Oryctolagus cuniculus: one gene and its partners. The protein of the gene in region 1 binds, or shares a complex with, the protein of each later gene. Links are inferred from orthologs where the notes say so. Each region holds a gene or a part of one and is shown in the gene's direction. Other genes may lie near its edges.

Region 1 (6,797 bases):
TACTCATCCCTCCTCATACATCTTGGTCCTCCTCTTGGAGGTCCTCTTGGGTCCCCTTCAATACGAATGCTGTCTTCTGCCCTCAGCCCCTATGTCACCACAGTGGGAGGCACATCTTTCCAGAATCCTTTCCGCGTCACAAATGAGATTGTTGACTATATCAGTGGCGGTGGCTTCAGCAATGTGTTTCCACGGCCTTCATACCAGGTACAAGCATGTTTGTGTGGATGGGTGGGGGAGGGAAGTGCCTCAGTTCAGCAGACTGCTGAGCAAGTCACAGGTCGGTGCTCATTCAGCAATGCCTTTCAGGAAGAAGCCGTAACCCAGTTCCTGAACTCGAGCCCCCACCTGCCACCACAGAGTTACTTCAATTCCAGTGGCCGTGCCTACCCAGATGTAGCTGCACTTTCTGATGGCTACTGGGTGGTCAGCAACAGAGTGCCCATTCCGTGGGTGTCTGGAACTTCGGTGAGAATCAGCCTAGCTCCGAACGCTCACTCAGGGACTACCCCCACGTCCTAAACAAAACTTTGCAGCCAGAACTCCTGACTTCTCAGAGACCTCTGATCCTTTCACATACCACCCCCCAACCTTCAAAGTCCACCCACTCTGAACCCCTGACCTGTACTTGTACCTTCTCCTCTTCAGGCCTCTACTCCAGTGTTTGGGGGACTGCTATCCTTGATAAATGAGCACAGACTCCTCAGCGGTCGTCCTCCTCTTGGCTTTCTCAACCCAAGGCTCTACCAGCAGCATGGGGCAGGACTCTTTGATGTAAGTGTGAAAGAGAGGGTGTGGATGTTTTCATACGAGTATGGGGAGTGCTAAAATGAACTTGGGGGGAATTCTGATAGGGTAAGATAGCCTCTGGGATGTGAACACAGGATGATAAGATAGAGTTTGTTAGTACTGCTATCAGCAAGCCCAGATCTGATGCTCACCTCTTTCCTAGGTAACCCATGGCTGCCATGAGTCCTGTCTGAATGAAGAGGTGGAGGGTCAGGGTTTCTGCTCTGGCCCTGGCTGGGATCCTGTGACAGGCTGGGGAACACCCAACTTCCCAGCTCTACTGAAGGCATTGCTCAACCCTTGACCCTTTCCTGTCCCGAGAGCTGTCCTCTCTCCTGCCCTACAGCTAGTGGCTCCATCCCTTATTCTGCCCTGTTGGAAGTTCTGTTGAACCCTCAGTTGTTGAGTGCTTCAGCTTATCTCCCTAACCCTGAAATGCTGTGAGCTTTACTTGACTCCCAACCCTACCCTTATCTGTCATACTCAGGTGTCTCTACTCTTGCCTCAAGTTCTCAACAGGATGCTATAACCAGTGTTTTTGTGGCTGCCTCCTCTCTTCCTCTCTTTAACCAGGCCTTTCCGAAGGGTTCTCTACATTGACTGTGTATGCTATTTTACTTCTTCACTTGTCCCAATTCATGGCATGGGACCTCTGCTCTCCCCTTTTACTCTTTCCTCCCCTGATAAGAAACAGTGGCCTCCCTGCTACTTCATCCAGTACACACTTGCCAATCTTTGCTTTATACCTTTCCATCATAGCTGCCCATTCTCCTTTCTACCCTAGCATCCTGGGCTTAACTTATTGTCTGATTATCCCTCTCTTCCTCCATGGAATTCTCTTTTTCTGCTTTCTCATAGAATATTAGAGTTGTTCATTGCTCCTTTCTTAATCATTTGCTTTTCTTACTCATTGTCCCATGGAACAAATCAATGGCATCTACAGCAATCACTATCTCACTAAATCAGACTTTCTATACAGTTGTGATGGATACCTCAAATACAAGATGTGTGATACTCAATACTTATCTCACTCCATCTCAACCCCAAAATATTCGACCTATTATTTGTCTTTGGTAAACAACATTATGTCTCTTCCAACCAAGCCTGAAATCTGTGCCATCCTTGACTCCTCTATTTCCTTCACCTATCACCATATTCAATCAACATCCCTACAGATTTTGCCTCTTAAAAAAAAAAGTGTTTATCAATTTACAATGCATTCCAACTATATTTAAATATATTTAGAACTTACCCATTCTCTCTTTTCCCAGTGCTACCATATTAGCTTTGAACCATATTCTCTCTCTTCTGAATATGCAGGAGGCCCTTGCAAAAATAGTGTCCATGCTTCCTACCCAGCCTTAATACATTTTCCAAAGTAAAATGTAAACCTCCTCAGGCCATTTACTTGATTAAAATCCTTCAAAATTACTGGATAAAGTTCAGGCTTGGTTCACAAACCTTTTCTGCTATTTGCTCCTGAGTAACAAAATCATTTTTCCTTCCCTTAAGGAACTCGCCCTAGTTGAAGCCACCCCTGATAGAAATGCCTGGTTAATTTCCAGGATTCTTTACAGACTCAGCTCTAAAGTCATCTCATTGAAGGTTTAGATTCCCAGAAGCTAACTGATTTTTGTGTAGCATAAAAATCCTAGATTTTTGTAACCAAACCTGAGTGAACCTTGGTTGCAATACAAATGAGAACCTTGAGCAAAAGAGTTTATCGCCTTGAGCCCATTTCCTCATTACCTGTCTTTCATAACAATCAGGGAATAATTCAGTGGAATAATGCCGACGGAGCGCTTGGCACCTGGAAGTAGGCAGCAATTGTTCCCTTCCTCCATTGCACTGCACGCACTGCCTACCTCTAGCATCGTTAACGCCCATATGGTATTGAAATTGCCAGTTTACCTCCTTTTCCAAGACCACTGGTGCCTACAGAACTAGAATTTTGTCCTACTTAACTTTGTATTCCCAGTCAAGAGTGGCTCAAGAGTTGGCAAATACGAATTAAATAAATGTTTGCGGAATGGGAAACCTCATGCTTTCGCTTGATGTGATTTTGTTTCCTTAGGCTGAAATACTCTCCTCTCCATCTACAGCATCACTGAATGCGGCACTCTCCCTTGCAGGCAGTTGGCTTGGGAGGGGGCTTTCCAACGCCACTCTGAACCTTTAAAAGGTTGAATAAGGAAACCAGGAAAATGCGGACTGGCAGACTAGGGGTGCCGGGCCGATGAGCCCCAAATCAAGGTCTTGGAACGTCCGATTGAATGAGGAGTCCTCGACCCGTAATTAGAGCCCGGGACCCACAAGTGCGGAGTCGACTGGGAGCACCGCGGGGTGGAGGGTGGAATGGCGACCGCGTAGTTCTCCCGGATTGGTCTCCGCCCCCTTGCCTCCTCGCCTAACCCGCCGTGAGGCAAAGAAAGGAGGCGGGAAGCCGCAGGGACCGAGCAAATATTGACAGGCGGGGCGAGTCGGGGAGCGCGTGACGTCACTCTGGGGTGTGCGTAACGTGAGCGGAAGCGGAAGCGGCTCTGTTCGCCGCCTCTCCCACCAGCCCGATGAGCTGCAGCGGCTCCGGCGCGGACCCCGAGGCGGCGCCGGCCTCCGCCGCCTCGGCCCCGGGCCCGGCACCCCCGGTCTCGGCTCCCGCCGCGCTGCCCACCAGCACCGCCGCGGAGAACAAGGCCAGCCCCGCGGGGACAGCAGGGGGGCCTGGGGCTGGAGCCGCGGCCGGGGGCGCGGGACCCGTGGCGGCGCGGGCTGGGGAGCCCACCGAACGGCGCGGGGCGGGTGAGGGCCGGGACGGGTGAGGGTGAGGGAAGAGCCTTGGACGGGGCTTCGCGGCGGGTGAGGGTTGAGGGTACAAGGCAGATCTGCCTGGGACCCTGCGCCTGTCACCTCCGTGTCTCAGTTTGCTGGTTCTCCTCCAGCTCCGGTGTCGGCGGGCGGCGCGGCACCCCCGGAGGGGGCGATGTCTAACGGGGTTTACGTACTACCGAGCGCGGCCAACGGAGACGTGAAGCCCGTGGTGTCTAGCACGCCTCTGGTGGACTTCTTGATGCAGCTGGAGGACTATACGCCTACGGTGGGCTTCCCGCCTGAACAAGGCCATCTGGCCCGCATCCACGCCAACTTACAGCCACACCTCCGTGCTTTCCAGCGTCATCTTACATTTGCTCCCCTACTAGCTCTTGTGATTTAGTCCCTCCGCCCACCCAAACTGTGAGCTTCTTGATAGCCAGGCCTATCCTCTCTCCCTCACCCTCCTCCCACAGCCCAGCAGGGAGCAGGACTAATGCTGACAGTTGTCTCATTGATTTCTCAGATCCCAGACGCAGTGACTGGTTACTACTTGAACCGTGCTGGCTTTGAGGCCTCAGACCCACGCATGTGAGTAAACCCAGGGTAGGCTAGAGCTTTGAGTGCTTCTGCAGGTTGTTGTCCACCTCCTTCTCATACCAGTTTTTTCTCTCTAGAATTCGGCTCATCTCCCTAGCTGCCCAGAAATTCATCTCAGATATTGCCAACGATGCCCTACAGCACTGCAAAATGAAGGGCACAGCCTCTGGCAGCTCCCGGAGCAAGAGCAAGGTGTGAGGGGAGGCTCACTTAACCAGTAATTACCCTCCACAGCAGCGGAGGCTTAACTTATCCTGAGAGCCCTGTGGGGAAACTAAGTCCCAGGGGAGGTGTAAGGCTACTCAGGATCACCCACCTGGGACTTCAATCTCGGATTCCTGTGCTCAGCTGGTACTCTTCCCTCTTCCCTCAGGACCGCAAGTACACTCTAACCATGGAGGACTTGACCCCTGCCCTCAGCGAGTATGGCATCAATGTGAAGAAGCCGCACTACTTCACCTGAGCCACGCAACCTAAATGTACTTCTCTATCCCCATGTCCCCACACCAGCCTGTTTTCGTAATAAACTTTATTGTGACAGGCGGGGCTGATCCCTCCCATTCTGGGAGACACCGTGTGGCAAGTGACAAAGCTCTGAGCCCAGCCCCTTTTGGGGCCACAGTGGTAGGGATGGGGGCAGAGGATGGGCCCCATGGCTGGGGTAGTACCATGACTGGAGGCAGGGGAGGCAACCAGAGGCCTACTGCTTTGGGGAGTTACACTCCCCCAACCATGTCCTGACACCTTGGAGTTTCAGCAAGGACCTTGCAGTTCTATTTGTCCTGCATCTTCTCCAGGATAGGCACAATCATGTCAAATTTGGGTCGCTTAGCAGGGTCTTCATTCATGCAGATCTTCATGAGCTTGCACACATGGGGGGAAATACCTGGTGGGATGGTGGGCCGAAGGCCTTCCAGTGCCACCTGCGAATACAAGGAAAATTAAGATGAGCTTCAGAATTTGAGTGTGTCATACAGGAAGAGACCTCTGACCCTTGGGACAGGATTATGTATCTGAACAACTGTGGGTAGAGCTACAATTATTGTCACCACACCCATCTTTTCTGCCCCAACAGAAGGGTATGCACATCTGCTCTCACCTTCATTCCAATCTCCATATTGGAGAGGTCAGCAAAAGGTACCTCTCTTGTCACCAGTTCCCACAGAAGCACTGCAAAACTCCACATGTCTGCTGAGCGTCTGTTTGTGTCTTCAGGCTTCTTCTGCAAAGCTGGAGAGATAGGGCTTATTTGTTCCAGCTGCCTAGCCTGTCCTGTCTCTGCCTTCTTCCACTGCTACTCAGCTGGTCATTCTCTACCTCCCAATGCAATGCCCTCACCCACCTTCAGGGGCTACCCAGGCAGGTGCATACATGCGTCCAGGGCATTGGAAAGAGAACTTGACATCGGCCATGCTGATCCGGGCAGTCATGTCCTCATCAATCTGGAGAAGATAGGTATGTGGAAGGTGAGTCCTATTCTAGGTAGGCAAAGGGCTATTGGGCCTGGGCCAGGAGTGAACTTGTGGCCTCACCATTACACTACGGCTATTGAGTGCATGTCGTGGGATGAGGGGCTCTAGTGTGTGTAGGAATGCCATGCCCCTTGCCATGTCCAAAGCAAACTTCACAGCTTGGCTCTGGTCCACGACAAAATCTAAGAAGAGACAAGAGTCAAATCACTTGGAGAGGCTCATGTACCATTCCTCATCCCTATCCCAGTGAAACTCAGCATCCCTACTCACTGGTGCCTTCATGTAGTACATTGTAGAGGGATCCATATGGCATCCAGTGCGTAATGAGGGTTGGGTGAGGAGCAGGTGGAGACTGGCAGGCTCCTAGCACTGGGAGAACATTTGGATGCGAGAAAATCCTGGGAGAGGGAGAGAGTGTGGCTGAGAGCTAGTATAGAAGTCATCCCCCTCAGTGCTATTGAAGGTTCTTTGGAACCAGTAGCTTGCAGTTTAGGCCTTGCCCCACCTGAGCCGAGGACACTCCTCATTGAAGTCTCTGCTCTTCCTTGTACTCCAGTCTCGAACCTTCAGCACCTTCACCACGATGTCATTGCCCTGCCAGCGGCCCTTCCACAACTGAAGGACAGGTAGGGATTAGGAGGCTTTAATTAAGGCTGCACGTCTTTGCCCACTAACTGGAGGGAAACTTACAACAGGTGTAAAGCAGGTAACTTGAGTGCAATTAAAGAGAAAAGGGCAAGAAAGGCAGAGGTCACCTCTCCTGAATGATTCTCGTTGAGCTTCGCCAGAAAGTTGAGCTGTTTGAAGTCAATGCCAGAGTGCTTGTTCAGAGTCCCATTTCCTGAGAATTAGGGACAGGTCAGATATCCAGCATCAACCCTGACCCAGCCCGAGGAACCCATGGTAATTCTCCCTTACACCCCTCCTCCTCCAAACAGTGACTCACGGGGCCGAGTGCGGGTGGTCCCCTTCCAAAATGTGTCCTTGTATGGAATACGGTTCAGATTCTGGCCCATCTTCTCTGCCCGCTCTGGGGGGAAAAAAACCAGTCTTAGCCTGAGCTGTGGTAGGGACGGACAGGATGACAGACGCTGCGGGTGGGAGCTGGACCTCGGAGAAGCTCTCTTA
Region 2 (7,176 bases), on another chromosome or scaffold:
TGGATTCACTTCCCAGCTCCCAGCTGCAAGAATCCTGGCCTTTGTGGGCATTTGGGGAATGAACCAGCGGATGGGTAGCACAGCACATTGTTTCTCTGACCCTCCAATAAGTAAAATTTTTAAAGAGAATGTAAAACGTATTGGTAAGAGTTTTTAAGCTGATTCCATGATACAATTATATTTTAGGGAAATTGGATTAAATAAAATTACTGAAATTAATTCCACTTGCTTCTTTCTGATATTCTAATGTGGCTACTAGAGATTTTAAAATCATACCTGTGACTCACATTGTATTCCCACTGGACACAGCTGCTCTAGACTACCTGGTTTTTGAGATAATATTCTTCAAACCAGTGTAAGTTAGGTTTTGATTTTTTTTCCAATAGAAAGCATTTTTTAGTACAGGACCTGTGACACATTTTTAGTTAACTTGCTTTTTACTTTACAAATATATGATGACATAGCAGTGCATAAGCTTACTTTTTAAGAGTGCTTCCTCTTTCCTCAGCTCCATAATTTTCTTCCTCTAAAATTTAATTAGAACTTCTCACATCACCCATATTTATTTTATCCTCCATAATATAAGCAGTCTTTTTAAGTAATTTCATAGCTTATTAAAGGGATTTTTCAAACATACAGCATTAGCAGCAGTGACTGCAATACTCCTTAACCACAAGTAATGCTACCACACTGGAAAATTTTTTGCTGTCCCCAAATCTTTGGTTCACTCCTATTACAGATACTCTACAGAACATCCACAGGGGTAAAACTCTTTCACTAATTTAGAGTTTTTCTGTATGTCTAATGAATTTGAAAACAATCACAACTGGTGATATAGCAAAGATTTCAGTTGTAGAATCAGTATAACCCATATCCCCAAGTGAAAAACCAATAACTGGAAAATGTGTTAAATTCAAAAGCAAACAATATGTTTCAAGATTGTAGTAGGTAGTACTTTGGGAAAACTGGTATCAATCCTTTCAGTTATCTCTGATAATCTTCCATTTAGAGGTCTGCTAATTAAAACAGTCTTCTGGCAAATCAGAATTGCATACAATTCATGTCAAATTACCTTCTATACAAGTATATTTGAGCATCATGAAACACATGGAGAATTAAAATACAAAGTAATATTTGGATTATTTTCATATATGAGCATGGTCTTATATGGCTAAATAGAGCACTATGCAGAGAATAAATGCTTAAATTTATAAAATAAGTAAAAGCAGGTAAAATCAAAGGCCGACTAAAAATATCATCTTCAAAAAACAGGAAATAGATTATCCTGGAAATTACTGATGAATCAGCCAACATTCTTCAGCATATTATGGGACAGAAATAATGTGGTTACACGGAAGGACATACTTTCTCTTTAAAATGAACCAAAAAAGCAAACCTGTGCCAGCTCACTTTCATTTCCTCACGGTTTCACAGTTCGTTTGCACCACACTCACACCCTCTATTGGTAAAAACACTGTAACAACTGCTGCCATCCTTGACTAGAAAGGGAATGAATGTACTATAAAGTGACTCAAACTCGCTTTAAGTGACATAGAATTTATTTTCTCCAGCAAATTACTATATTTTTAAGACTATGTTATTTCTAGATGAGTCAACTGTTTCATTCAATTATCGAATTATTTTTGTGTGTCTCCAATATTCTGGTACTAGGCCCTGGGATATAATCTGGTGTAAGGAGGACAATCAACAAGTACACAAAGAAATAATGCAAATTCTAGAAATGTTAATCACTTTCTGGGAGTTCTCTTAAATTTAATTTGTTGTTAATATTTTAGAGGGCGTAGGTTAAATGACCTTGATGCTCTACCAAACGGATCCTACTAAAAAATAAATGGAAAAGAACAAAAATAAGTGGAAGCTGTTACAGCTGTGCCAAAGAACCACGAATATGCGGTGAAGAATCCCTGAGAATCCACATACGAGATAAGCAGAATACAGCAAAACAGTAGATGGAGTGGAAAAAAATTCCAAAGTAATTTAAAAATTACTGGTACGTTCCAGGCAGTAAAAATTCCTCATTTACACATTCTACTTTAGCCACAGCATCTGTCCACAGGTCCTAAGGACCTGTCTATTCTGTTTAAAGATTTATTTGAGAGGCCGAGCTACAGAGAAACCTGCTTACATTTCTATCTATGCCAACTACGCCAATGAGAAATCACCCCTGGCCCCCTGGAGAGCTCCCAAGCAGAAATAAACCCAGAAGCACGGTCCCCCTCCGGGCACTTTCATAATTAAAATACACACAGAACCACACAGTGGACAGCATGCTCTCCTTACGCCATTGATTTGGGAACTTTTAAATCCACTTTGTGGTTAGTTACAAATTCCTGCACCGACACCAGAATGGGTAACTCCTGGGGAACACGCGAGACGTTTCCCGAAGCAAAACGCTTTCTGCAAACATGCCCTGACCCCCGAAGTCTAGACGCTATCTCGGCGCTTGCCGGTCCGGTACAAATGCTGTCTCAGCAGGGGGAGGCTCTGTGACCTTCCTGCAATCGTTATCTCTTATTTTCAAACTAGGTCGGCAGGAAACTTCATTTTCACGCCCTAAAACAATTCCCCTGGATCCAGAGAACGAGTCCCGGCCGGAATCGCAGCGCCGCGACTGCGTCTGCGCGCGCTCGGGGCGGGCCGTCTTTCCGCCCGGCCGTGCTGTCACTCACGGCCGCTTCCCGCCCCGCGCCGTGACGCAGCGCGGCTTTAAAGCCAGCTCTGCAAGCGGCTGCAGGCAGACGCCTGCGGAGCCTCCGGTGTGTGGCTCTGCGCAGCGCGTCTCGGCGAAATTTCGCGCTTCCCGCCGGGACCGAAGCATTGGTAATCAGTAGCGGATCACTCAGCTGAGCAGCAGGAAGAACAAAGGAGTCGGCGAGAGAAGAGGCTCCCCGCCGCTTTGCAGCGAGTGGCTTCCTCCCCCCGCCGCCTGCGCCCGGCGCGAAGCTGAATTTATAACCGTCACTGGATTGTAAGTACCCGAGGCAAAGGCAGCTCGCTGCGTCCCGCTTTTTCAGTTATGCTTGTTTCGGGAGGGTTTGGGTCGGTGTTGACTGCTTGTCCTAATTTTGTGCCGTCTTCATTCTGCAGGAGCCGCCATTTGCTTTCCTGCTCGCTCGCTCGCCCGCTTGCTCTGTCTGCATTGTCTGGAGGCGGCACCTAGAGGCTGGAACTCGGCATTGCAGCTCCAGGCTTTAAATGGACTTAATTCTCTGAATAAGCCAGTGTGTCGGTAACAAACAGCGGGTGTGGAGTGCAGCATATTTAGAGAAAAGATTTGTGGCTTGATTAAAAATTAAGACAAAACAGATGCTTAGCTACTGTTCTGCATAGAACCTTCTGTTGTTAGATTTTAATTCATAAGGAACTGGTCTTTTAAATTGTTGCAGTAGCTGAAACTTTTCAGTGCAGCAAGTGTTTATTAGGAGAAGGGAGTCAGAAAGAAGTGAAGATGAGTAAGAGCAAAGATGATGCCCCTCATGAGCTGGAGAGCCAGTTTATCTTGCGCCTGCCTCCAGAATATGCTGCTACTGTGAGGAGGGCAGTGCAGTCGGGGCATGTCAACCTGAAAGACAGACTGACCATCGAGTTACACCCCGATGGGCGTCATGGAATTGTCAGAGTGGACCGGGTCCCTCTGGCCTCAAAACTGGTGGATCTGCCGTGTGTTATGGAAAGCTTGAAAACCATCGATAAAAAAACCTTTTACAAGACTGCTGATATCTGTCAGATGCTCGTGTCCACAGTTGATGGTGATCTTTATCCCCCTGTGGAGGAGCCAGTTGCTGCTGCTGACCCCAAAGCAAGCAAGAAAAAGGATAAGGACAAAGAGAAAAAGTTCGTCTGGAACCATGGAATTACTCTGCCTCTAAAGAATGTCAGAAAGAGAAGATTCCGGAAGACAGCAAAGAAAAAGTATATTGAGTCTCCAGACGTGGAGAAAGAAGTGAAGCGGTTGCTGAGTACAGATGCGGAAGCTGTCAGTACTCGCTGGGAGATAATTGCTGAAGATGAAACAAAAGAGACGGAGAATCAAGGCCTTGACATCTCTTCCCCAGGAATGTCTGGCCACAGGCAGGGCCAGGACTCCCTGGAGCACGATGAGCTTCGGGAGATATTCAATGACCTCAGCAGCAGCAGCGAGGATGAAGATGACACCCAGCACCAGGACGAAGAAGATATAAACATCATCGACACTGAGGAAGACCTGGAGAGACAGCTGCAGGACAAGCTGAATGAGTCAGATGAACAGCACCAAGAAAACGAAGGGACCAACCAGCTGGTTATGGGCATTCAGAAGCAGATTGACAACATGAAAGGCAAGCTCCAGGAGACCCAGGACAGGGCCAAGCGACAGGAGGATCTCATCATGAAGGTGGAAAACCTGGCTCTCAAGAACAGATTTCAGGCTGTGCTGGATGAGTTAAAACAAAAGGAAGACCGAGAAAAGGAGCAGCTCAGCTCTTTGCAGGAAGAGCTGGAGTCACTCCTAGAGAAGTAAGAAGAATTTTGATCATTTTGAACCTGATGGTTCCACACTAAGAAAATCTTCATCACTTTTTCTGGATTTTAAGATTTTGCAGTAGTTCCCGTTCCTTCTAATGCTAGAAGTTCTTTTTAAATTATCTTGTTTTCAAGAAGCACTTTGCTAGGTGTTCATTCTATAGAATTAGGATTGACTAGGCAGTAATGTAATTGTTAGGAAGTTGTAGGGTTAGTGGAATGAACAGCTGAACCCTAATATTCACAGCTGCATTGCAGGACTTTGCTGCTGTTTCCCCATTTCCCGGAAGCTGCTATTGCTGCCATGTGGTGCCTTCTGAGATAGGTAAGAACCTAGTGTAGAGGCAATGAAGTTGGTTTGCATATGTTTCCCTAACTATTTTCTCAGTTAAATCAAAGCAGTTTCACACATGTAGAGATGCAAATAATTTCATAAGGTTTCTAACATAAATAAAAGCGACTAATTTTCAACTTATGTGTCTTGATTTTTTCATTGGTAATAGGAGTCAGATAATCTTTTGAGGTGGTTTCTCGGTAGAGTTTAATGATTGGTCAGTTTGGTCCTGCTTTGCAGGTAAAGAAGCAGTTGTGGGTTAAAAAAAAAAAAAAAAAGGAACATAGCAGAAATTGGGAAATGTCATCTTTGCATTCTATTAAGGTTCTAATCCACCTGCTCCATCAGGAGGCTGGAAAACATGAGATACAGAGCCATTCTAAACTACTCTAGTATTTGTAGATGAAGGCCTGCTTTACCCTTTTTTTTTTTTTTTTTTTTTTGACAGGCAGAGTGGACAGTGAGAGAGAGAGAGAGAGAGAGAAAGGTCTTCCTTTGCCGTTGGTTCACCCTCCAATGGCCGCCGCTGCAGCCGGCGCACCGCGCTGATCCTGGCAGGAGCCAGGAGCCAGGTGCTTTTCCTGGTCTCCCATGGGGTGCAGGGCCCAAGCACCTGGGCCATCCTCCACTGCACTCCCTGGCCATAGCAGAGAGCTGGCCTGGAAGAGGGGCAACCGGGACAGAATCCGGCGCCCCAACCGGGACTAGAACCCGGTGTGCCGGCGCCGCAAGGTGGAGGATTAGCCTATTGAGCCACGGCGCCGGCTGCTTTACCCTTTTTTAAAAGCACTGTTTTTACCTGCAGAAAATATTGGGAATAAAAACAATGGCTATCAAGTGAAGTCCAATGAACCACAGCACTGGTTTGGATTAGATTATGTTTCCAATTATTTTTATTTTAATTCCACAGTTATTTAATATCCTGATAAGTGATTTAGCCACTTCATTTCACTGAAATCCTTAAGGAAGTCAGTACCATAGTCTGGCATTACAAAATTTCTTTTAACAGTTTTCATACTCTCTTAAACTTCCCATGCCCTTAAAGATAATTTAATGCTTTACACTTGATCTGTTCTTGAAAATCAGTGATAAAATTTATGAAATGCAGTGTTATATGCAATTCACTTTTGACAGCTTTACTTGCCTAAAAAATGGTTTGGTTTTAAAATACTAGCCTCATGAAGTAAACATTTCAAGCCCATTTAAAATTTCTGTTTGATAGGAAACATGTTAAAACTAATTAGAACCAAAGTAAAATGAATGCTGAGACTTTGAGACTTCACAAGGGTAACTTTTTCCCCTACAAGATCATTTTTAATTTACAAAAACATTTTCAGAACTTGGGAGGTTTTAGTGTGGAACTTGTAGGGTTAAGCAAGGTTTCCCTCAGTGTCTGGAATTTGGATTATTTTTTGACATTTGGTAATACAAAGCAAATTTCCTCAATGTGTTTGGGTGTTGGTAACAGATTCTCCTGTTTTAGTACATATGACTGCAGTGATACCTGAACAGCTCCCCCCATGCTGGGTTTTACAGTAGAACACTTGCCAAGTTTTTTTTTTAAGAGTTATTTACTTATTTGAAAGAGTTACAGATCTAAGGGGAGAGACAGAGATCCTCCATCTGCTGATTGACTCCATAATTGGCTGCAACAGCCAGGGCTGGGCCAGGCTGAAGCCAGAAACGTGTCCAGATCTCCCAAGTGGGTGCCAGGGGCCCAAACACTTGGGCCATCTTCTGCTTTTCCGAGGACATTAACGGTGAGCTGTTTGGAAGTGGAGCAGCATGGGCACTAACCAGCTATGCCACAGTGTCAGCCTCTCAAATAATTTAATCAAGATCTCAGCATCAAAGATAGCTGAGTTCCCTCAGCAATGGAAAAGAAGTATGGTAGATACTCTAACAAAACAGCCTGCTGCCCCCATTATTACTTTTTTAATTATTAGCTCTGTGCTGAATCTGAGGTCTCCATTAATTATATTTGAGGCTCAGAAGAGAGCAGGTTTATTATTCACCTCTGTACTGGAAGCACACTTGAAACATCCTTCAGGAAACTCGACAAAATAGAACACTTCCTCTCTCAAGAAACTTGCTTTTCCTTCTGAGTTTCTGTGAAAATAAATGGTACTACATCTTCAACTCCTGAAGCTAAAACTTGAGCCATAACTCTTTGATTTCTCCCTTCACTTAACCACTTACGATTTCTACTTCCAAAAAAACTTCAATTACTACTTCATCTGCACCCCACTGTCCTAATGCAAGCCACTGTTACCTTGCCTGGCAAGTGATGGTAGCTTCCTAACTGGTGTGTATAAATAAAC
Region 3 (7,309 bases), on another chromosome or scaffold:
TCTTTCTCTCCATACCTTCATCCATACCTTCAATAACCTCTCCTCGTCATATTAATTTTCTTATTTTCTTTCTTTCTTTCTTTTCTTTTTTTTTTTTTTTTTGTTGACATAGTTAGACAGTGAGAGAGACAGAGAGAAAGGTCTCCCATGCGGGTGCAGGACCCAAGCACTTGGGCCAACCTCTACTGCCTTCCCAGGCCACAGCAGAGAGCAGGACTGGAAGAGGAGCAACCGGGACAGAATCCGGCGCCCCAATCAGGACTAGAACCCGGGGATTAGCCAAGTGAGCCGCGGCGCTGGCCTTTCTCTTTTTAAGATTCATAAACTTACCTGAAAGGCAGAATTACAGAGAGAGAGAGAGAGAGAAAGAGAGAGAGAAAAGCTTCCATCCACTGGTTCATTCTCCAAGTAGCTGTAACAGCCACTTGCTAGGTCAGGCCAAAGCCAGGAGCCAGGAACTCCAACTGGTCTCCCACATGAGTGGCAGGGCTCAGGCACTTTGGCCATCTTCCACTGCTTTCCCAGAGAGCTGGATTTGAAGTGGAGTAACTGGGACTCAAACTAGTGCTCCAATGTGGGATGCCACATTGCAGGTGATGGGTTAACCTGTTGTGCCACAATGCCGGCCCCCAAGCCACTAGGTTTTGGGGTAATTTGTTGCACAGTAATAACTGATTACCTATCTACCCACATAATTAAGAACATATACAGGGGCTGGTGCTGCAGCGAAACGGGTTAAGCCACTGCATGCAGTGCGGGCATCTCATATGGGTGCTGCTCTACTTCCCATCTAGCTCCCTTCTAGTGTGCCTGGGAAAGCAGTGGAAGATGGCCCAAATGCTTCGGCCCCTGCATCCACATAGGAAACTCAGAATAAGCTCCTGGTTCCTGGCTTTGGAGTGAACCAACAGATGGAAAATCTCTCTATCTCTCCTCTTTTTCTCTGTGACTCGGATTTTCAAATAAATAAATAAATAAATAAATCTTTTTTTTTTTTCTTTTAAAGGTAGGGCTAGAGAAAGAGAGAGAGACAAAGTGCTGGTTCACCCTCTAAATAGCCACAACAACCAGAGCTGAGTCATTCTGAGGCCATGAGCCAGGAGCTTCTTCTGGGTCTCCCACACCGGTGCAGGACCCAAACACTTGGGCCCTACGTCATTGCCTTTCCAAGCTGTAAGCAGAGAGCTGGATTGGAAAAGGAGCAGCTGGACATGAACCAGCGCCCATATGGGATTCTGGTGCCACAGACGGAGGCTTAGCCTACTGGCTAAGTGCCTGCCCAATCAAATTAAATCTTAAAAAAAAAAAAAAAATACAAGGTTGGTTCTGGTGCTGTGGCATAGTGGGTAAAGTTACCTCCTTGCAGTGCAGGCATCTCATATAGGCTCCCAGTTGCTGCACTTCCGAACCAACTCCTTGCTAATGTGCCTGGGAAAACAGCAGATGGCCCAAGTGCTTGGGCCCCTGCACCCATTTGGGAGATCCAGAAGCAGCTCCTGGCTCCTGGCTTCAGATTGGCTCAGCTCCTGCCATTGCGGCCATTTGGGGAAACCTCTCTCTCTCTTTCTCTGCCTTTCAAATAAATAAATAAATCTTTAAAAAATACAATGTGGCAAAATGCTGAAAATTGTTAAATCCTGAAACTAAAATGAGAACTTATCAAAAAATGCCCAAATAAGAAATAAATATAAAAGAATCTATTAATATGTTTTTTTTATTTTTTTTATTTTATTTATTTATTTTTTTGACAGGCAGAGTGGACAGTGAGAGAGAGAGACAGAGAGAAAGGTCTTCCTTTGCCGTTGGTTCACCCTCCAATGGCCGCCGCGGCCGGCGCGCTGCGACCGGCGCACCGCACCGGTCCGATGGCAGGAGCCAGGAGCCAGGTGCTTTTCCTGGTCTCCCATGGGGTGCAGGGCCCAAGCACCTGGGCCATCCTCCACTGCACTCCCTGGCCACAGCAGAGAGCTGGCCTGGAAGAGGGGCAACCGGGACAGAATCCGGCGCCCCGACCGGGACTAGAACCCGGTGTGCCGGCGCCGCAAGGCGGAGGATTAGCCTAGTGAGCCGCGGCGCCGGCCTATTAATATGTTTTTAACACGTAAATTCTCAGGCATGACAACACAGGAGGTATAATAACAATGTGGTTGCTTGTACCTAGATGTAAATTTACCTCGAATGTAGGAACTACAAATGTAGGCAGATTCCAGGTGAGCACTATTTAAATTACAAGCGATATTGCCTTTGGTGGCAGTATTTCCTCTTAATAAGTTCCAAACAAAGCAAAATGCAACAGATCACCAATTTTGAAGAAGTAACAGTCACAGGAAATCCAATGTTCATTAAAAGCATGGGAAAAATAGTTTATATAAAATAATATTTTCAGTCATTGAATGTTCAGCAGGACATAGAGAAATCGTGTGTATTATTGGACTTTTTTATCGTGTGGCATCATCCCTTAGGTTGCAGGATATTTTATGTCAACTCCAGCCTCTTACTGCGTGTTCTCATTGTTAAAACCCAAATTCTTCTCCAGAAAATTTTAAATCGTCTCTAAGGATAGCGCCCCCTTGAGAACTAGTAGTGAAATATAGTACCCCACAATAATTAACAAAGTGCTTGGGATCAATAGTGCAGGCGTAACTCATTGCACTTTAAAATACACCCCTCAGAGCAAGACCGCGGGATCGCCCTCCTACGCTCCAGGTCAGGAAAGGTGGATTCAACACGCACAAGGAGATGTAGGGTGATAAGAGGATACACACTGCCTGGTGCATTTCTTTCAGTTTGCTAAATTTTAGTTCCTTCCTCGGGATTACAGAACCCAGAGCTCACGCTGCTACCCTACAGACCGTCTCTCTCAGCGGTCGCTAGGCAGCTCCCCCTCCCAGGCGTGTTTGCGGGGACCCGGCCCCGCCCCCTACGTCACCGGAAGTGACGCAACGGAAGTAGTAAAAACCCGCTGAGAGCGAGCCGGCGCGGCACAGTAGGTTGTCGGGCTAGTGTAATGGCAGATGAGGAAGAAGATCCCACCGTGAGTGACCGCCTTTGTCCCAATCCTCCCTTTCGCTCAGGCTTAGTGACGGAAGCAGAGTTCAGAATGGGGTGTTTTCCTTAGTGAATTCAGTCGAGAGAGTTCGGGGACCAGTTGTGCTTGTCTTTTCCTTCAGCTTCATGGTTTTAGTACTCCGGGGCAGGACGTGAAGTAGTGGGAAGGTAGCCCCTTTCCCTTCGGATTCGGGCTGAATCTGCTAGACACTTTGTGAAACTAGACGATCGTCAGAGCTAATCACTCGTATTTGTTGGTGCTCGTTAAATGAACCAACAATCTAGCTGCTAACAGAATTGGATATTTATTGTGAAGTGTTGGAGAAATAACGGACCACAAATCAGAAGCCTGGATTTCAAAATCTCCATTCTCACCGAACAAGTTATTTAACTTTCAGCATCGGTTGTTCTTGATATAAAATAAGGTTAAAACAGATAAGGAAAGGTTTTAGCACTGTATAAGCAGGTGCTTAGTTAAAATTTTTCCTTTTTTGCTGCAGGGAGGTAGGCTTTGATTCAGTATCGGTCCTTGAATGGCAACACTGGCTAGCAGTAGACCAACTTAGTTGGTTTTAAACAAAAAGAACTTGCGGCTGTTAAAAGGCTTACGTGTCTAGGCAGGATTGTTGTGGACAGTGTAGAAACCATTTTTGCGGGAATTGAAATTTTGACTAGGTAGTCTCTAAGGGCTCTTTAGTGCTAAGTTATCATGATTTTTTAGTGCTTGCTTTTAAGCGTTTTGGCCTGATATTAGTGTTAAAAATGAAAGCAAGTTATTAAAATATCAAATGCAATGCAATCACTTGACATTTCTATATATACATTTTAACTTCTAGTTTGAGGAAGAAAATGAAGAAATTGGAGGAGGTGCAGAAGGTGGACAGGGTAAAAGAAAGAGACTCTTTTCTAAAGAATGTAAGTAGTATTTGACAGTGATTTTATTATAGATCATGCAAACTTTTGGACATGTCCTTTGGAATAGATTTATATTCTGAAAATGTTTGCAAGGATAATATTCTCAAAATTGCCAGTAAAGTTCAATTTAATTTTTGCCTTTTTTTAAAAGATTTATTTTTATTTTATTTGAAAGAGTTACAGAGTGAGGCAGAGTCAGAGAGAGAGGTAGGTCTTCCATCCTGTGGTTCACTCCCCAGATGGCCGCAATGGCTGGAGCTGTGCCGATCCGAAGCCAGGAGCCAGGAGCTTCTTCCATGCGGGTGCAGGGGCCCAAGGACTTGTGCCATCTTCTACTACTTTCCCAGGCCATAGCAGAGAGCTGGATCGGAAGAGGAGCAGCCAGGACTAGAACCGGTGCCCATATGGGATGCCAGCGCTTCAGGCCTGAGCTTTAACCTGCTGCGCCACAGCACCAGCCCCTCAGTTTAATTTTTGAATCACAGATACTAACCCCAGTTTAACGTATAATTGTGTTTTAAATTGTACAGAATTTAAGTGAGGGAATATTGTTATGTCTTTCTGTTAGGCTGTCACAAAAACACACCAAACTCCGGAGTAAGGGAAAGGGTTTATTGAGAAAAGCCAGCAGACCGGAAGGGTGAGGTGATGAAGGGAAAAAGGGAGAGGAGAGTATAAGAGAAAGAGACACGGAGAGTAGAGGAGCTAGTGAGGAGAGAAGAGAGACGAGAGGAGCCAAGAGAACAGGAGAGAAGAGCCAAGAGTGCCGCCTGTTCAGGAACAGGCCCTTTTAAACTTTGCCAGAGGGCGGGCAGGGAAACAGGAGCAGCGAATCCCGTTAGGATGGGGGTGGAGCTTGACACTGGTGGTTGGGCCATGTGGCTACATGGCTTTCAGCAATGGCTGTGAGAACCGGGGCATAGGATGTAAATCATGGTGTAGATAGCGCCATGGATAAAACTGCACCAGTTTCCTAACAAATATGATCAGTGTTTCAATTCAGGACAAAACAATATACCTCCACGTTTTCCTGGCCCTTACCTTTGCAACAGTAGAAGCAGGAGTTCTTTTGACTGTGGGCACTGAAACAGGTGCTGAGGGTAGGGGCTAAGTTGAGACTTTGGACTAAGGGCAGTGAACAGGGCAGGAAGGTGAGGAACAATGTGAGACATACAATGGCATGAAGATAATATAATGTGTTAGTGCTTTGTCCCACTCCCTCAGTAGACAGATTTTACCCTTTTTAGACAGCAGCATGAAGAAAGGAGATCTGTTCCTACTGCTGATAGTCCAGGACAACATTTAAAAGTCATCATGAGAATAGCTTTTTATCTCCCAGTACGGATTCCTTTATATCTATATAGCTGGGTATTGAGAGATGAGACAACACAGATTTAAGAATACCTGTTTATTAAGGTTGGGACAGATACGAGCAGTTTACATGTGATGTTAAAACTGCACATCAGTATGTCTTTTTTATTTGAAATTTATTTGAAAGGCAGAGTGACAGAAAAAGACAGAGATCTTCCATCTGATGGTTCGCTCATGCCCACAACAGCTGAGGCTTGGCTAGGCCAGGCGGATGCCAGTTGCCCAGAATGCCATTTGGGTCTCTTACATGGGTGGCAGTGGCCACAGTACCTGAGCCATCACCTGCTGCCTTCCAGAATCACAGCAGCAGGAAGCTGGATTCGAAGTAGAGTAGATGGGAGTCAAACAAGCACTCTGATGTGGAATGTCAGCCAAGGGTTGTGGGTGTCCCAAACTGGGCCCAACCTGCCACGCCACAATACCCACACCATGTTTTTTTTTTTTTTTTTTAACATTTATTTGAAATGCTGGGTTAGAGAGAGAGAGAATCTTCCATCCACTGGTTAACTCCCCAAATGGCCAGAACAGCTGGAACTGGCAGGTCTGAAGCCAGGAGCCTAGAAATTCTTTTGGGTCTCCCACATGGTTGTGGGGGCCCAAGCATTTGGATCGTCTTTCTTTACTTTCCCAGGTCATTAGCAGGGAGCTGGATTGGAAGTGGAGCAACCGAGTCTCGAACTGGTGCCCATATGGGATGGTGGCACTGCAAGCAGTGGTTTAACCTACTGTGCCATAGTGCCAGTCTACCGCCATATTTCTTTTTAATTGTAACCTTTTTCTGTATCTCACCTAAAGCTGAACATTGCTTATCCCATCTCTCTGATAATATTTATTACATTTGTATTACATTTTACTTACTTTACCAACGTAAGAAAGAGATCACTACTCCAGAGTATCTCGAAGTGATGCTTGCACAGTTGGTTATTAGCAAAGACCTTTGTTATACTTGGATTACTTTATCTTTATGATGACAAGAATTTGGAATTTTCATACTCTTCTCCATGTCTTATGAGTCTTCATATATCTTACTGAGATCTGTTTGCCACCAGAGGTGGGAAATGTCCAGGTGTGTGACATCTTTTGGTGTGGCCTGGCCAAGACAACCACAGGCAGGACTCAAAATTCAATCTACCTATATATAAAGATTCAGCAAATTGTAGCAGGCTAATTTCTAAGTTGATAGTTTTTATGGCCTGCAAATGATGTTATAAATATCCAAATGGCTCTTCACAGAGAAAAGATTCCGCACTCCTCTTTTTAAAGAAAATAATTTTTAAAGTGAGATTTATTTACTTATTTATTTGAAAGTCAGAATGACAAAGAGAGAAAGAACCAGCATCTGCTGGTTCACTCTTCAAATGGCAGCAACAGACAGGTCTGCCCCAGACCAAATCCAGGAGCCACGAATTCCATCCTGGTGTCCCACGTGGTTGGCAGGAACCCAAGTATATGGGCCATCTTTGCTGTCTTCCCATGTGCATTAGCAGGATGCTGGATTGGAAGTGAAATAGCCGGGACTCAAACCAGCACCCTGATCTAGGATGCTGGCATTACAAGTGGTGCCTTAACCCACTGTACCACATACTGATCCCAGGAAAAAAAGATTATTTTTAATTTATTTTTCATTTTTATTTGAAAGGCAGAGAGATAGAGATCATCAGTCAGCTTAAACACTGTCCAAATGCCTGCAACAGCTAGGGTGGGCTGGAAGCTTGGAATTTTATCCTGGTCTCCTGTCTGGTTGTCATGTACTCCAGTACTTGAGCTGTCACTTGCTGCCTCCTGGGATATACATTAGCAGGAAACTGGACTGGAACCAAACATTCTAATATGGGACGCAGGCATCCCAAGTGGTTTCTTGAAGTGTTATACCAACCGCTTGCCCTGAGGAAAAAAAAATTTTTAAAGATTTTTTTTATCTATTTGAAAAGCAGAGTTACACAGAGAGATCTTCCATCCGCTGGTTAACTCCCAA

The links.
Region 2: TAF10 (region 1) and TAF7 share a complex: the UniProt entries of both Homo sapiens proteins name them as parts of the TFIID basal transcription factor complex. The link is inferred for Oryctolagus cuniculus from reciprocal best matches to the Homo sapiens genes TAF10 and TAF7.
Region 3: TAF10 (region 1) and TAF13 share a complex: the UniProt entries of both Homo sapiens proteins name them as parts of the TFIID basal transcription factor complex. The link is inferred for Oryctolagus cuniculus from reciprocal best matches to the Homo sapiens genes TAF10 and TAF13.

The regions. Positions count from the first base shown.
Region 1 is NC_091432.1:60,278,753-60,285,549, forward strand, and holds TAF10 (transcription initiation factor TFIID subunit 10), read left to right. Parts: upstream 1-3,319; 5' UTR 3,320-3,356; coding exon 3,357-3,588; intron 3,589-3,728; coding exon 3,729-3,883; intron 3,884-4,123; coding exon 4,124-4,188; intron 4,189-4,274; coding exon 4,275-4,389; intron 4,390-4,570; coding exon 4,571-4,660; 3' UTR 4,661-4,737; downstream 4,738-6,797. Other genes in the region: TPP1 (tripeptidyl-peptidase 1), read left to right, coding at 87-207, 310-468, 649-774, 953-1,093; ILK (integrin-linked protein kinase), read right to left, coding at 4,971-5,120, 5,297-5,427, 5,540-5,639, 5,730-5,851, 5,940-6,067, 6,175-6,284, 6,425-6,510, 6,616-6,699 and 1 more. UniProt on the Homo sapiens protein: The TFIID basal transcription factor complex plays a major role in the initiation of RNA polymerase II (Pol II)-dependent transcription.
Region 2 is NC_091437.1:28,857,787-28,864,962, reverse strand, and holds TAF7 (transcription initiation factor TFIID subunit 7), read left to right. Parts: upstream 1-3,469; coding exon 3,470-4,519; 3' UTR 4,520-4,992; downstream 4,993-7,176. UniProt on the Homo sapiens protein: The TFIID basal transcription factor complex plays a major role in the initiation of RNA polymerase II (Pol II)-dependent transcription.
Region 3 is NC_091438.1:61,353,991-61,361,299, forward strand, and holds the start of TAF13 (transcription initiation factor TFIID subunit 13), read left to right. Parts: upstream 1-2,907; 5' UTR 2,908-3,007; coding exon 3,008-3,034; intron 3,035-3,884; coding exon 3,885-3,963; intron 3,964-7,309. UniProt on the Homo sapiens protein: The TFIID basal transcription factor complex plays a major role in the initiation of RNA polymerase II (Pol II)-dependent transcription.